Arabidopsis thaliana: one gene and its partners. The protein of the gene in region 3 interacts with the protein of the main gene of each other region in a pairwise test. Each region holds a gene or a part of one and is shown on either strand. Other genes may lie near its edges. The genes, in order: BT2, BT4 and BET10.

Region 1 (5,781 bases), about 18 Mb from region 3:
GTCCTCCACATATCATGCGGACAGGATCATCAATCATCACTGATTAGTATTAATGAAGTTGGCTTTTAGATAAAGTATTCAACCAATAATATGGGGAATGGACATCTCCGAGACTCCGACCAATAATGAGAAAGTTAATCAAATCTATTTATGGGTCGGACCGATCACTATTTTTCTGATGCGGAAACTTATCAACAAACTTTGAATTTTTTAGCTTTTTGTTTTACAATGAATCTATTTGCATTAATTTTAAAACTGTGTTTATAATTAAACAAGAAAAATGGTTTGAAATGATGAATTCATTGGCCTAGGACGTGAGATCAAAACGCCAACTCCAAATCCAACCAAGCCAATGTTCATTTCTCCACGTGGCGTTTTTAATGGATCAAAATCATTGCACCAAACCTAATTTCCAACAAATCAACATTTATGCGGCGAACTTACTCCCCAAATCCAACGTAACAATCGCACTATACACTTTTTTTTTTTAATTCCATAAATTTCATAGTTCTTTTTTCTCCAAATTTATAATTATAGACAGGGTCCAAAATGTTTCATGAAAATTAAGTAAAAAAGTAATTAATATTAAAAATGATAAAATATAGGTCAATTACCTAAAAACAGAGTTTTTCTTTGCTATAAATGGTAGGTTAATTTTTCTACCAACATTAAAAAAAAAAAAACACTATTATTTAGTAGTAAATTGTAGTCTTACCTAGATTGATTGAGGAATTTAATGAAATACTTTTACAAAAAAAAATACCATGAAACAATATATGTGATTACAAAAGTTAATGATCTATGCGATTAGGAAGAAAATGTTCGAAATTCAAAGCTATTACTAAGATAGTTAAAAATATATCCAAAACGGATAAGAACGTTCGATTTAAAAGTCATGTATTCATTTATCTTATGGAAAATATTTTAATCGAACACAAAATTCCGTTGACACAGATTGAGTCACACAATGGATAAACAAAAGGATCACAATTGGCAATACAAGAGGGCGTGTAAGATTGGATGAGAACAAAATGCCACGAGGGATGAGGAGAGGTGGCTCTTGGGAAGAGGCAAAGGTCGGTTTATTGCAATAACCGGCTTTTCTAGTTTTTTTTTAATAAACAGCTCTTTGACGCAAAGCCAAAAACAATATTGGTCCCGGATTTGTTCACTTTCCACATTGGATTGATAAGAAAACATAAATCTGCCTACATGGAACAAAAAGGTCGTCTTGTTTTTCGGATCACAAACAAAAGCAACCTTATAATAGTCACTTTTTTTCAGGAACGTAAATTATGCAAATATTTTCATTTTTTGTTTTCATCTTATTTTCCTAATGTTGGGAATATAATACGGACAGTGTTACACGGTGTAACTTACACCGTTGGTCCAGCTCAATACACAAATCAAATAGAACATTATCTATGTTAAATTCTTATGCATGTTACACCAAGTCGGTAATATATATTAAAAGGTTTAAAACAAATATAAGCAATTGAAATTAAATACAAAATTGAGCTTGTTAGTGGGACATTGTTTAACTAACTTCTCATGGAAATTAAACTCATCACTCTTGCTATGGTTGAGACATTGTTTAACTAAGTTCTCATGGAAAAAATGGGGCGCCACTTAAGGTATAAACCAAAATATTTGCGTTAAACCCTAGATAAGCTAAGATGCCATGGAAACAAAACACTGGGCGAGTTTTCTTCTCGTGACAATTATCATCAAAAATTATGGAACAAGTTGATCCTAATCCTAATCCTCTTATCAATATCTTTGATTGTCTTAAAGTTTTTATTTATTTTATTTCGTGATAATTGCATTGTCTTAAAGTTCATAGTTGCATAATAACTTTATCCCCAAACTTTCATGATCTCCACGGACCAAAAAAAAAAAAACTTAGGAATTAGTTTACCAAAAACTCCAACTACTTAAAATTTCAGATATTTGTTGTCAGTATTCAAATACTACACTCGGAAGTTTCGTTCGACTATGATACATATTCTCAGTTCTTTTTTGATGATTCATGGAAGATAAATTTGAATATGAATTCTCCTGTTCGTTATAAATTATTGTAATAAAGACTTAAAGAGTGATCCAGCTTCATCTCTTTATCCACAAATGCTATTCCCGTCACATAAAAATGCCAAAAAAAGAAAAAAAAGAGTGATAATCTAAGTGAAAACAGATCACGAGCGTGTTAGATAAGAATAGAGAGACGCAAAAATAAAATAGATATTTGCGAGACGCCACGTAAGCAACCAAAAGGTTACGGTAGGACCCACCTCGCTAATGTCTATATAACCAGAAATGTGCCAAAGCCTTTCTTCTTCAAACTACCAAACCTACAGAAATCTCTCTTCTTCTTCTTCTCTACAAAATTTCAATGGAAGCTGTTCTTGTCGCAATGTCCGTCCCCGCCACAACGGAAGACGACGGATTTTCGTTAATCACCGATAAACTTTCATATAATCTAACGCCGACGTCGGACGTTGAGATCGTTACCTCCGATAACCGTCGGATTCCGGCACACTCCGGCGTTCTGGTAAGTTGTTATTTATTTTGGTTTACGGTTTACATTTTTCTGGTTTGGTTTTTAGCTAAAATTTGTGGATAATGCAGGCTTCAGCTTCACCGGTACTGATGAACATCATGAAGAAACCGATGAGACGTTACAGAGGCTGTGGATCTAAAAGAGTCATCAAGATTCTTGGCGTTCCATGCGACGCCGTTTCGGTTTTTATCAAATTCCTCTACTCTTCTAGGTTGGTTTGGTTCGGTTATTCTTCTTGAATTTTCCAAATGTAGAAACTTCAAACCGATGGTTATTTCCGGTACTACACAATTTTCCCGGTTTTTCTTTTTCATACACGGATTTGAAGAAACTCTGTTTTTTTTTGGGCTATTTTCTTGGGGAAACAATAGCTGTCAGGAAATGACTAAACTACCCTTTTGCGTCTCTGTTTTAGTTTGACGGAGGATGAGATGGAGAGATATGGAATCCATCTTTTAGCGTTGTCTCACGTCTACATGGTCACCCAGCTGAAGCAACGGTGCTCAAAAGGCGTTGTACAACGTTTAACTACAGAGAACGTAGTCGACGTCCTCCAGCTAGCTCGGCTCTGCGACGCACCCGATGTTTGCCTTCGATCTATGCGTCTGATCCATTCGCAGTTTAAGACCGTTGAGCAGACTGAAGGATGGAAGTTTATTCAAGAACATGATCCTTTCCTCGAGCTCGACATTCTCCAGTTCATCGATGACGCCGAATCGGTAAACTTACTTATATGTTTTGAAAACACAGCATCTCTGTTTTTCTTAGTACCTTCGATAACACATTTTGTTCAGCTAGGTTTAGTTTTTGTTCCGCGCTAGTAAAAAGATAATTTTTTTTTTTTTAAATTCAGTTTATTTAGTTTGGCATGTTGCACAAAGTTTAGAGTATTAGTTAACTCATGTTTGATTAGATTTGGTTTATATACCTAATTAACCCCAAAACATTTGGTCATTTTTCTGATTATGTGTTGATTTATAATTTAACGCAGAGGAAGAAAAGAAGGCGACGACATAGAAAGGAGCAGGATCTTTACATGCAACTAAGCGAGGCAATGGAGTGCATAGAGCACATATGCACACAAGGTTGTACATTGGTCGGTCCATCAAACGTAGTAGATAACAACAAAAAGTCAATGACTGCGGAAAAGTCAGAGCCTTGTAAGGCGTTTTCCACGTGTTATGGTCTTCAGCTTTTGATACGTCACTTTGCCGTATGCAAGAGGAGGAATAACGATAAGGGTTGTCTTCGTTGCAAGCGGATGCTTCAACTCTTTAGACTCCATTCTTTGATTTGTGATCAACCCGATTCTTGTCGCGTCCCTCTCTGCAGGTATGTCCCAACTTGTTTTGTTAGGAATTTCACATTTGAAATAAATCAAAAAGTATGAGCGAATCCATTTACGCTTAATTAGTAAGTTTGAAATTGATGATTTTTAGTATGTTTATGAATAAAAACCAATGTTTTGTTGAAAGTGAAAAAATTTCATTTTTGGTAAGAGACAAGGTTTGTTTATCTTTTTGTGTAGACCCACCTTTAGAAAAGTTGCAAATTGCTATGTGAATTGATGATGGGTCGTAATCCGACGGCTGCAAATTGTTGCCATTTCTTGAAATTTGTAGATATTTTAATAGAATCTCATGTGTTCTTTTCAACTCTTTTTTTTGGGACTAGGCAATTTAGGAAACGGGGAGAACAAGACAAGAAAATGGGTGAAGACACCAAGTGGAAGCTTCTGGTGACAAGGGTTGTGTCTGCAAAAGCTATGACGTCGTTGTGTCAGTCAAAGAAGAACAAATGTGAACAAGCACAAGGGGTTTAATCAAAACCAGGAAGGAGTTAGTTAGGTTTGAAGAAGATTAAGTAAGAAGCTTTCTTATAATTTGATATCCATTCTTTTTGTAGTATAATAGTATTTGTTAGTTCGATTCTTTATTAGAGGGGTTTAGTTTGTATAGGAGTAAACCCTTTTAAATTGGCTGTATAAGTAGGTCATATTCAATTGTTTTGTTCTATTTATCTGAAAAATGTCAGCATGTAATACAAAACAAATAAATGTTCAAATTAAAGGGAGGATTACAAGAGGTGTTTTTAATGTTATTGACTTTGGCCAAAATTTTGAAATTTAGATAATTCTATCCGTTGTTTCGCGATTACAAAAAAGTTGAATTCAAACGTGTGTTGAAAATAAAAAAATATCGTGTTTAGCGTGATTAGTGATTACAAAGACTCAAATTTTTGACTCCCAAATATGTTCAATAATATTGGTAAGACATTAAGAACATGAACCAATAATCGACCGTAAAACATCTTTGGCGATGTTTTGGTAAAACCTAATTTTGGTTTTGGTGTGGCTTCATAGGCTTGGTGCGCCGTTTTACCCTTCTAAGCCTATGAGCTTCTCTCCCGTTGGGTTTGTTTACCCTTTTGATTTGGACGTTTTGGTTTTTGTGTTTTAATTTATGTCTTTAATTTTTGTAATCTTTTACAAGGGTTAAGTCCAATGTGTTTGTTCCCAGTTATGATCCTAAAAATGTCAATAAATATGAAAATAATTTGAAAAAAAAACATCTTTACAATTACAAAACGTCCATCTTGGAGAATTGAATTGCACTTTTTGTAATAGTAAAGATGTTTTACTGTCCATTATTGTTTTATGATCTTAATAATTACAAACACTATCCTCAAAAGTTACAATTCTTGGCCATTTTGTAAGTCAATTAAACTTGCACATAGTAAAGTATTTAACGCCATTTTTCCGCAAAGCAAATGCTGGCCAATATTACAAGGAGATAAAAATCGTCTCAATTTAAGATGAATACACGATAAATGTGTAAACTGAAACCCATGAACCTCAATCCATAAAATAATAAACTCAGTGTAAGCTCACTAGAAGAATGGTTCGAAATTCAGTTTTCAATGACTTAAAGTCTCTAGAGCTCGTCTTTAACATCATCACGAACTACTGACTCATGAGTAGAAGGAGTCGAAGAGAGCTTGGTGGGATAAGAAGCCTCCATGGCTATACCGCAACGTCCTTCATTCTCCGATATTCCTCTTTCTATCCGAACATAGCCTCCTTCTCCCCATTCAGGTCCCCATGAGTTCCTTACTATCCAATATTTTGTTCCATTTTTGGTCTCTCCATACCCAACAATCACCACCCCGTGGTTCAACTGAGTCCCGCATTCTCCGATAAACACACCCTACAGTAGAATGCATAG
Region 2 (4,644 bases), on a different chromosome or scaffold from region 3:
TTTCTCGGAGTTCTCGATAACGTTTGTAAAGAAGTGAAGACGATGCAAGAAATGTCGACATCGATGGGTTCAGCTTCAGCTAGATCGTTCAGGATTTCAGCAACAGCTTCGTTACCGGTTCTTCATAGGTATAAAGCAAGACAAGACGACACAAGCTCGGATAGTGAACACAGCAGCAACTCTTCTACGTGATGAAAAAACAAAAAGCTGTACAGTTTCTTACACCAAGACACGAAGAATTAAATTGGTGTTTCTCAAGCCGGAGGAGATATCAGACATTGAGTTGGTTTAGTCGGAGAACACGGCCGTTTATAGAGTAACAAACACTATTAAAGTCTATAAATGATCAAATTTTCGTAACAAATAAGGAACCTTTTTTTTCTTAGTTTTTTATTTGTCAGCAATTTAAATATAGATAGATATATATATGAAAATTTCGTAATTTCTTGATTTTGGTTAAGTTTTGTGTTTCTTTGTTGTTGAAGGAATCAGAACCCAATACGAAAGTGATTAGAAAAAGGGATTTTGAAAGGAGAAGAAAATATATACTACACATGATACGATCATTGTTGAGGATTTGGTTTTGTGACAATGAATGTTTCCAACATTACTAATTTAATGAAATAGAAACATGTGATGTGAGTGAGGCCGATTTTGTGTACACTTGTACCACGTCCTCTCAGCTCTTACTGCTTTTGTCTTGTTCTACGTCACTTTTTCCCACCACGATCTTTTCGTTTCCTTTTTTCCATATTTGGATTTATTAAAAATAACAAAGCAAGTTGGGTCCTATAAAATTTGGTAGATTCTTCTTCTTCTGTTCATTTCACAACAAGATGACTCACTGAGCTTATTACCAATTTTGCCACTTAATCACTAAACCGATCCGTAGACCGGATTTGATATTCCAGAGACTCTCTTGGCCGACCAAAATATGTGTCATTTATTCAAACTCATTATGTTACACTTGTTTTAAAGATAGGATCACAAGAAACGCTTAAAACTCGCCCTTCTTGAGATTGACAAAATGTTTTTTAACAGTTTGTCACCGGTAAAAAGAAAGGAGAGCCTCCGATTTTCTTACTCCCCAATACATTCTTCACCAGAAGTTTCCATCTCGACTCATCTTTCTTGCTCTGTTTCTCCATCTTCTCCTTAAGGTTTCTGCATAGAGGGACTCGACATTGATCAGAACCTGCGCAAACACGTGAATGCAGTTCAAGGAGTTGCCACATTCTCTTGCAATGCACGCAACCTCCTGGAACTCTTAGCTTACAGCCTGCGAAATGCCGGATCAGTGATTCTAATCCCTTGCAAGCTTCATAGTTACACGTTGCATGGTTCGGTTTGAAATCTTTATCGTGTGGCCCTATTGTTTTACATCCATCTCTGCATATATGAACAAGTGCTTCCATTGCTTCGTATAGCTGCGAATATATCCTCTGATCATTGCGTTTTCTCATCCTCTCTTTCCGCGTCTGCGTTTATGTTCAAGATTTAGAATTTAGGAGAAAATACAGGGAAAAAAGGAAGTTTATTAAATCACTACTTACATTTGCTTCGATGATTACTGAGTCTCTAACTTCTTTCTCAAGAAAGGGATGGCTTTTCTTCATAGCTGTCCATGCTTCTGTCGCAGAGAGTTCGTTAAAGTGTTTCATGATCATACGGTGAGATATGAGGCTAAGCCGAGGGAAATCACACAGCAGCGCAAGCTGGAACACATCAACCACATTCTCAGTGGTAAGCAAACCATGTTCTAGATGCCATTCACAGACCCGTTTCAGCTGAGGAACCACGTACGCGTGTGACAGAAGTAGCAAATGCATGATAAACTCGTTCATTTCTTCTTTCTCATAGCTACACAAAGGAAATCAGATTTCGTCAGTGAAAAGATCATAAGACGAATGTTAAAAGAGGCAGAGCAAATAAATATAGAGAGCAAGAAGAAATGGAATTTATATATACCAAGAAGAGTAGAGGAAACGGATAAAAACTCGCACAGCATCATGAGGGACACCTCGGATTGATATTGTATGCCACTTGCCATGTCTCTTGGCTTGCTTCAACATGCCTTTGATCACAGTGGAAGCAGTTCCCTATTAATTCAAGAAAGACAATGTCCATATCAACCAAGTCTAGACCTTTCTAATCAACTGCTAAAGTCTGTATTCGCTTAGCTAAAGATCCTAACTACACATTGATAATTATGGTCAAAGGAGTTATAAGGAGAGCTTACAAGGATGTTGGCATGAGCATAGATGATACTGCCATTATCTGTATAGATGACTACATCAGCTTTGTATCCGTCATTGAAAAGACGATCCCACATATCTCTTGTGGCTGTCGAAACGCTGCTATGCCCAAGTTTTTTCTTGAGTCCATCAGATTTTGATGGAAGAGGAGGAGGAATTGGCACAGAAGATGAATCTGCAGATTTGAAAGATTGATGAAGATCAACACAACCTGTCACCATTCTCTTGTTTAGCTTATCTTCTCTTCCCTGCATCAATCAAATGAAAATATATATTGTCGATTCTTTAGCCACAGATAAACTTCATTGTCATTTCTACACGAAATATGTGACTCAGACAACAATTTTCACAGCATTATGTAACCAGATCTCATTTACGATTACAAATCGAATAGGATAAGAACAAATCTCTACATATATATTCACACGAAAATATCAATCAGAAATAACAAGAATTCTTGAAACAGATCGATAGAAAATGTAAGAACAAGAATCAATCAATGCTCTAATTTGTTCCGACATATATACCTTGAAAAGATTCAGACCACAGAATCAGGTTGCTTCGAAGAGGCAAGTCAAACAAAATTAACGAGAAAATCTTCTCCTTGGTAGAAAGAGCATGAGAAGAAACTCTCTCTATAGAGAAGCTTGAGAGATCAGAGATCTCTTACCATTATATAAACACACACACTCACAAAAACAATAGAAGACGACAAAAAAAATCCCACCGAAAGGATAATTTATTGTTTTAATTTCCTTATTATCTCACTTTTTTCTTACTTTTGTGTTCAATAATTTGAAGATATTTTCTTGGTTCATATCATCAACAGAGACACCCACCTGCGAAAATTACCCGAGAGGCGCGTGGAGTCTACGGTTACGAAACGGACGGCTGAGAATCCACGCGCCTTAACGGCCTTTTTTCCTCGTTCTTGAAAAAGCTTTCGTCAAGTTGGTTTTATTATCGGCTTTATCAATTGAAACACGACTCTGCATGTTTTTTTTTTATAAATGATTTAATTTAAGAGCCGTACAAAAACAGATCAGTGTGTCCTTTGTTTTTTTTGTTCTTGTTCGGCGTTACACAGCTCATAATTAGCTGTTCGTTTTTTCAAACTTTTATCCGTATTATTATCCTTTCTTCTTCAAAGATAAATTTAGATTAGTCTTAATTTTAACCACATGATCAGATACTCTCTTCAAAAATGTTAACTAATCGTGAATTATGTTGAGGTCCGCAAAATTGCGTCATAAATATTTTACTGGTCTCTCTTCATATTTCTTAGCTTCGCTTGAATTGATTGTTACCCTTTTTTCCCTTTTTTTCTGTGTTTACTATAATGCCACGTTTCTTCTATCGAATAATCTAAAACAGAAGAAGAAGAAGTCAAAATGCTTTTTATATGATCATTTTCTTGTATTTTTTTTTAGTTTTTGATCGGAGTAAAGTTATAAGAACTTCAAAAAAAAAAAAAAAAAAAAAATGCATGATGATGCCAATCTTTTTCTAACTTTTAAAGAGTATTGGAACATAATACATATATCATGTAAACTGATATTTTTAATTGTAATTTTATATCATATACGGATTTAATTGTAATTTGAGCATCACCCAGTTGTGCAATTGTAGTTATCACAGAAGTGCACATTGCAATGTTGTTGAACAACAGAAATACCTTGACATCATCTCACTGACCCATGCAGCCATGCCTAAACTTGGACCAGAACTCATGTAACCACCGGGTAATGTCAAACCTGAACTCTGAACTCTCAGGTTAGTTAAACTCATCTCTTGTTGTTTCCTTAATTCTAAATCATCACTAAACCTGTATTAAAGTGTCCCAAATTTTTTAGATAGAGATGTATAGATGCACATTTAACCCACCTGAGGAAGAACTTATTAACTATTACTGGAATAACAAGATCACCAGAGAATGATGATCCAAATAAAGGCAACGAATTTGAAGTTCTACTACATTTTCTTCCATTTTCTCCATTATTTTGCAAATACATAAACACATAAAACGAATTTATTTCCATTTTTCCCAGAAATATATAAGAACAAGCTAAAACACAGGGATACATGAATCCTCTCAGAAATCAGAGCATCGACCACGTTGTTCCCAATCGCCGTACCGAGTCGGTTCAGGACCTCTAGGCCCTCCAATCTCACCAGTATCTTCGTTCACAAACTCTCCACCTCCACCACCTTCTCCTTCCTCTTCTTCTTCCTTCTGCATCTGCAGATTCTGTTGAAGATTCTGATCTGGCTTCACGTCCCGGTTCAGATCCTGATTCGGAGATGGAGCTTGCGGCGGAGGAGGTGTACCGGAGCTTAGAAACCGTGACACTGGCTCGAGGAATCTAGAGGAGACGGATCGGCTTGGAGC
Region 3 (6,158 bases):
ATCATAGATATGGCACAGCCTAACAAGCAATTTCAAATAGCAATCTACAGCGTACGTCCTGCCATCACAATCCCATTTGACACAAGGCCTACAAACTTCCACAACCTCAAGGGCTGGTTCTGTCCAGTTCAGAGCACCATAACCAGTACCATATGCTAACGCACCAATCACTCTGCTCTCCATACCCGAGTTTTTTTGTTCAGGCAAAGGTAGAGACAACTGGAAGCAGCTTTCCACAAGCATTGCCACCAGCTCTTCCCGAAATAAGCTCTTACTGGTAACACTATTGAGATCATCTTTAATCCTTGCATCTTCAAAGAGAGAAATAATATCTGTCCCAGGCAGAGGCTTCTGACCTCTTCGGGCACTTTCTCTGGCAAAAAGGTGAACACAGAGAGCTGTCCGACAGATACAGGCTAATGCGTGCATCCTGTCCGATTCTGCTCTCAAGTTTCTCACCATAAGCAGCAGTCTTCTAAACAACGAAACCTTCGTAACAAATTCCAAAAAGAATGATTCAGAAATCATAGGCCACAGCTTCAAGACAAAGGTACACAACTAACCGAGCTTAAATGAAGTAAAAAACGACATACCTGCATATGCAGATCAAGCAAGTGCAGGTTCGTAACAACGGCCCTGACTATACTCTCTCTAGCAGAGGAAAATTCTTGGCGGTCCCAGAGTGTTAAAATTGCAATAATGGACTGTGAAGCCCACTCTGGCTTGCCTCCGGCAACATCTGCCAGGTAGAGCATGTTAATTCCCACTTCAAAAATCAAAGCTGGATCCAAAGAGGAAGCCAAGAATGGCGCCAAATGGGTAACCAAATCTGAGACGCCAACCAGCTTCTCGGCGTTGGAGTCCACAACGGTGGCATTAGCTGCAGCAGCAGCAGAGGAAGCCTTGGAAAGCTGTCTAATCACTTCGACACTACCGGAAGCAACAGCTTTGACAGCAAAGACAAGAGGGAAAACAGTGGCTCTGAAGGTTTCGACAGGAAGGACTAAAGACCTAGCCATCAAAGCGCTCCTCTTTCTCCATACAATGTCAACCATGGAAGAGACCCACTTGGACCTGATGGCGAGGGAGTTCTCGCTGTCAACGAGCTTATCGCCAGCAAGACGGCTCATCCGCTTGGAGTCGAACTCCTGGAAGAGTCTGCCGACGGACTCAAAGGCAACCTTGGAGACGGCGTCGGATTTGTCGAGCATGTTCTGGCCGATCCGAGCCCACCAGTTGGAGACCTTGTCGAGGAGACCCACATTGTTCTCGCACAAAGTAACGAGATCATCACGCGCGAGGATGCAGCCAAGTGTCTCGGTGATGGAAAAACGAAGGTTGTCAGATGGAGAATCGAAGCAGGAAGCAATCTCAGAGCTGCAATCAGAGATGAGTTTAGGAAGCGAGAAGGCAGGGAGAGCCGCAAGGATGGAGACGGCAGCGGCGGTAACATCCGGGTCCGGAAAATGAAGATCCGTTTTGACACCTGAGCAAACGGTGTCCCAAAGATCCGGAGTGAGGCGGGTAGATCGGATGAGATCGAATGCCAGCTTCTTACAAACAGCTGAAGCCGGAGAAGCAACAATCTCCTCCACAGCAGACTTAGCGATCACAGAGATATCTCTTCCGGCGGCGGATTGCTGCAGCGCCTGAAGAAGCGCCGATGACTGGCGAAGCGCGTCATTTGAACGGAGGTCCGCCTGGATCTGAGCAAAAAGAATGTCCATAACCGGATCGAATTAACTGAAATTCGAGATCCAAAATCTGAGCTAACTAGCTTCGCTGTCAATCTGTGTACGTATGCGACATGGAACTGGAAGAAGAAGGATGTGTAAATCAAACCATCAATTGAAGAAGAAGGAGAAGAAATTGTTTTCGAAGGAAAAAAGCGCGTGCCGTTCCTGCGATTCGAGCTTTCACAGCGTGCCGTGTTGAGTCATCCGTAGACCCAATAAAGGCACATTAAAAAGTTCATTGGGCTTTACATTATAAGCCCAGGATATTATTTTTATGCACCGAAGTATTTGCATTCGATTTTAATTCGAGGGATCAGATCCGACGGTCCAGATTGAGTCCTGCCCAGTAGCAAAACGGCGTTAGACGCAGCATTCGTTAGGGACGGGACACTAGAGAAGGGAGGGCAGAGAGCGATTTTGTTCTCTCTCTACTTCTCGGTCGTCTTCTTCGTCTCCACTCTAGGGTTTTACTCTATCTTCTTCTTCATCATCATCTTCTACACCAATCTCTAGCGTTAATCTGTTTCTGCTGGAGAAGATTTACGCTTGTTCCTCGGTTCTCTTACTTCTGCTCCGGTTCGATCGCTTGCTAAGTGTTTCGAGTTGGTTAGTTCCGAATTTCCTTTTTTATGCATATTGAGTGTTCACTGCTCTCCTCCAGCAATACTATAGGGCTCTAAGAATTGAATTGCTTTCAGGTTTTCATAGTTAGGGTTTCTCAAAACTGACTTAAATATTTTGATTTGTGCAGGTTCGCACTTCGGTGGGCGATATCATGACTGTGAGGAACGGTGGTTTCCCAGGAGATTATAATCGTAACAGTTTTGACTCTCCCGGCGGCTGTGATGATAGCCCCAATGCTTCCAAGGATGATGAAACTTTTGGTGTCCCGAGAATAGTTTTACCCTTGTCTGACTTGTCATCATCAGAAAGGAGAAAGTGGATTCATACGCTTCGTCAGGAGCTGGAACAACTACGGTCCTTTCAGAAGAGTGTTGGGGACCTTCTTCCTATATCTAAGATTGTTACTAGTACACCTGCAAGTAATGTGTCTCGCCCCAAGAGTTTTGGAATGTCACGATGCTCTACTGGCCCTGGAAAAAGGGTGCTCCCCTTCACAGCAACCAAACCAGAGCCAGTCACCACTTCCACTATGCTTCGGATGAAGCAATGTGAGAGCCTCCTTAAACGATTGATGTCGCAGCAGCATTGTTGGCTCTTTAATACCCCTGTGGACGTCGTCAAGCTCAACATTCCTGATTATTTCACCATTATCAAACATCCTATGGATTTAGGAACTGTTAAAAGCAAGTTAACTTCCGGCACGTATTCAAGCCCTTCAGAGTTTTCTGCTGATGTCCGTCTTACTTTCCGCAATGCTATGACTTATAACCCGTCAGATAATAATGTGTATCGCTTCGCTGATACTCTCAGCAAGTTTTTTGAAGTGAGATGGAAAACTATCGAGAAGAAGTCATCCGGAACCAAATCTGAACCAAGTAACTTGGCTACTCTTGCTCACAAAGATATTGCGATACCTGAGCCTGTGGCTAAGAAGAGAAAGATGAATGCTGTGAAACGTAACAGCCTCTTAGAGCCTGCTAAGCGGGTTATGACAGATGAGGATAGAGTAAAGCTTGGCAGAGATTTGGGGTCCTTGACAGAATTCCCTGTACAGATAATAAATTTCCTGAGAGATCACAGCTCCAAGGAAGAGAGATCTGGAGATGATGAGATAGAGATTGACATCAATGATCTCAGTCATGATGCCTTGTTCCAGTTGCGGGATCTCTTTGATGAGTTTCTGCGAGAAAATCAAAAGAAAGATTCAAACGGTGAACCCTGTGTGTTAGAGGTAATCACCTTTCTATATCTCATTCTTGATCCATTTGTTAACATGACTGATAAACAGCGAAAACTTTCTTGATGTAGCTTTTACATGGGTCAGGGCCAGGAAATTCATTGACGCAACACTGTGATGGTTAGCATACACTGGTTTTGTTGTTTGAGCTAATTCGCATGTCCTACTCTATGATTAAGCTGTCATTTCCTCCTCGTTACTTGCAGGGAGTGAATTGGAGGACGAGGATGTTGACATTGGTAATTATGAGCACCCTATATCTCACATCTCAACTGTCAGAACAGAAAAAGGTATGGCGTTAGAGAACTACAGTGGTTTGTTTAATCTTGCTACATTGTATTTGTCTTTTTCTCTATGGAGCTTTTGCAGACGTTTGATGTTTGCAATTCTTATATGTACTTAACCCTCGGAACCATTTTACTTCCCTCTTGTCAGAAGTGGCCGTCCATCTAGAATACTCAATGTTACTTCTGTAGTTTTTTTGGAGTGAAACTTACTGACCTTACTGATAGCAACTCATATTACACACCTAGTATGATAGTGATAGACCTGTTACATTTTCTGCTTGTTTTACTCCCAGGTCGCTGTTTGCTATTTTCTATAGTGATCATATTATCTCTAATCAGTGATTACTCCTCTTTTGGTGCAAAAGATGTTAAGTTTTGTTGATATTAATTAATAAACCTTGGTTTTCTTATTCCCTTTCTAAAAGCAGATTCCGTCGGTGGATTGAATCAGATGGAAGATGCATCCAGAGGGAAGCTAAGTCTTATTGAGGGGGCAGATGGTCATCAAGATGGTAAGCTCAGAAGTGTAGCAGAAAAATATCTGTGCTCTAATATCTGAGGGTGGCATCTCACTCTTGACCCATTAATAATTTAGGAAATAGTGCTCCAAAAGAGAAGGAACTACCTCCAGAAAAGCGTTACAGGGCTGCTCTATTGAAAAATCGATTTGCGGATATAATCTTGAAGGCTCAAGAGATAACTCTTAATCAGGTTAGCTGTGTTTGTGGAGGTGTGAGCTGTTATATCTGGTTAGCCCTCCCTCTTTGACTTTCAAAATTATATTTGTGAGATCAGAATGAGAAACGAGACCCAGAGACACTGCAACGTGAGAAGGAAGAACTGGAATTGCAAAAGAAGAAAGGTATTCTTGATTTGCTAGTTTCGATTTTTTGATTGATGATATATACCAAGTAGTATATACGTACATAAACTTGTCCTCTTATTGTTTTGTGCACCAGAAAAAGCACGGTTACAAGCAGAAGCCAAGGAAGCTGAAGAAGCTCGTAGAAAAGCTGAGGCACAAGAGGCTAAGAGGAAACTGGAACTTGAAAGAGAAGCAGCCCGGCAGGCATTGCTTGAGGTAAATCAAAATTGCTGCCTTGTACCAGTTTGGTTTTATAAACTGCAATACATGTATATTGATCATTGCCATGACTGAATGGTACACCAGATGGAGAAGTCGGTTGAAATAAATGAGAACACAAGGTTTCTCAAGGACCTAGAACTGCTCAAAACGGTTAACACGGACCAGTTACGAAATCTAAGAGATGTTGGCTCTGAGTCTGATGGGTTGGCTGTATTTGGGTTTGGAGGAAGTAATCCTCTAGAGCAGCTGGGGCTATTTATGAAACATGAGGAGGATGAAGATGAATCCGACATGCTTGCGTTTCCAGATCCCGGCAATGAAGTAGAAGAGGGTGAAATCGACTGAGATTCATGAGTGTTGTGTCTTGGATAACAGCAGTCAAGTGTACATGAGTTGTTGTAAAAAATGATAGTTAGATTGATATTTAACCAATGCGATGGCATTTTATCCGAGTAAACAATCAATAACACTTTGTGTAGTGAGTAAAATTTTGGTTAATTCAATAAACCAATGACCGACAGCACCGAGAGAGAGAGGGAGCATGTCTCAGAGTTAATTCTATAGATTTACACTCGAGTTTGGTAATAGAGCCTCTAGACTCTAGTACCAGCGAAATTGTTGCGTCCAACCAATTTATGTTACCTACAAGGCAATCGTCAGTGTTTAGGTAAGTTGCATCTTGAATTAGGTAGAGTGCCCTTTTGAATATTATAGATTAGTTTGGCCAGTCCCCCAATAGGTGCTATGATCATCAGCACAAGCCCAAAAATGATGCAAAACTGCTCCAAAAAAAAAGATTTAACTTAGCTGTAAGTGTCATATTTAGCTTTTGATCTGAGGACTACAAACATCTTACCCAGTTCATACACCATGAGAGACTAAATCTCTTTGGTTTCTTTAGGATCAGCCACATGATGCATGGGATCTGAAAGATAACATATCATTATGTTTGTTAGAGTTATTAACATGTTGATTGAAGTTTGATGATATCAAGAGCAGTTTAAGAGTAGAGTATTCGCGCTTACAAAGTATGTGGTCGGGGCGAACACAAATCCCCCAAAAAATGACAGCAATGCGCTGTAATACGGTAAACCGACCGCTATTCCCATCGTGGCGGCTGCGATATAGAGGTAAGTTAATCAATCATCAAAATGCTACTCCTCTGAAAAGAATGTGAATTTAGTTTC

Evidence for each region.
Region 1: the proteins of BET10 (region 3) and BT2 interact in a two-hybrid assay, tested with the Arabidopsis thaliana proteins (one study listed by BioGRID).
Region 2: the proteins of BET10 (region 3) and BT4 interact in a two-hybrid assay, tested with the Arabidopsis thaliana proteins (one study listed by BioGRID).

The regions. Positions count from the first base shown.
Region 1 is NC_003074.8:17,907,080-17,912,860, reverse strand, and holds BT2 (BTB and TAZ domain protein 2), read left to right. Parts: upstream 1-2,122; 5' UTR 2,123-2,389; coding exon 2,390-2,548; intron 2,549-2,625; coding exon 2,626-2,768; exon of another isoform or gene 2,769-2,972; coding exon 2,973-3,276; intron 3,277-3,548; coding exon 3,549-3,889; coding exon of another isoform or gene 3,890-3,947; exon of another isoform or gene 3,948-4,231; coding exon 4,232-4,379; 3' UTR 4,380-5,094; downstream 5,095-5,781. Other genes in the region: CEP3 (Cysteine proteinases superfamily protein), read right to left, coding at 5,491-5,763. UniProt on the Arabidopsis thaliana protein: May act as a substrate-specific adapter of an E3 ubiquitin-protein ligase complex (CUL3-RBX1-BTB) which mediates the ubiquitination and subsequent proteasomal degradation of target proteins.
Region 2 is NC_003076.8:26,930,021-26,934,664, forward strand, and holds BT4 (BTB and TAZ domain protein 4), read right to left. Parts: upstream 2,806-4,644; 5' UTR 2,510-2,805; coding exon 2,240-2,509; intron 2,100-2,239; coding exon 1,969-2,099; intron 1,861-1,968; coding exon 1,554-1,860; intron 1,479-1,553; coding exon 1,035-1,478; 3' UTR 920-1,034; downstream 1-919. Other genes in the region: FH6 (formin homolog 6), read left to right, coding at 1-192; AT5G67490 (succinate dehydrogenase assembly factor), read right to left, coding at 4,348-4,644. UniProt on the Arabidopsis thaliana protein: May act as a substrate-specific adapter of an E3 ubiquitin-protein ligase complex (CUL3-RBX1-BTB) which mediates the ubiquitination and subsequent proteasomal degradation of target proteins.
Region 3 is NC_003074.8:274,740-280,897, reverse strand, and holds BET10 (bromodomain and extraterminal domain protein 10), read left to right. Parts: upstream 1-2,056; 5' UTR 2,057-2,342; intron 2,343-2,487; 5' UTR 2,488-2,511; coding exon 2,512-3,591; intron 3,592-3,668; coding exon 3,669-3,717; intron 3,718-3,803; coding exon 3,804-3,887; intron 3,888-4,312; coding exon 4,313-4,396; intron 4,397-4,479; coding exon 4,480-4,595; coding exon of another isoform or gene 4,596-4,652; exon of another isoform or gene 4,653-4,679; coding exon 4,680-4,746; intron 4,747-4,843; coding exon 4,844-4,965; intron 4,966-5,055; coding exon 5,056-5,316; 3' UTR 5,317-5,565; downstream 5,566-6,158. Other genes in the region: TPLATE (ARM repeat superfamily protein), read right to left, coding at 1-489, 594-1,727; AT3G01760 (Transmembrane amino acid transporter family protein), read right to left, coding at 5,628-5,750, 5,828-5,896, 5,997-6,088.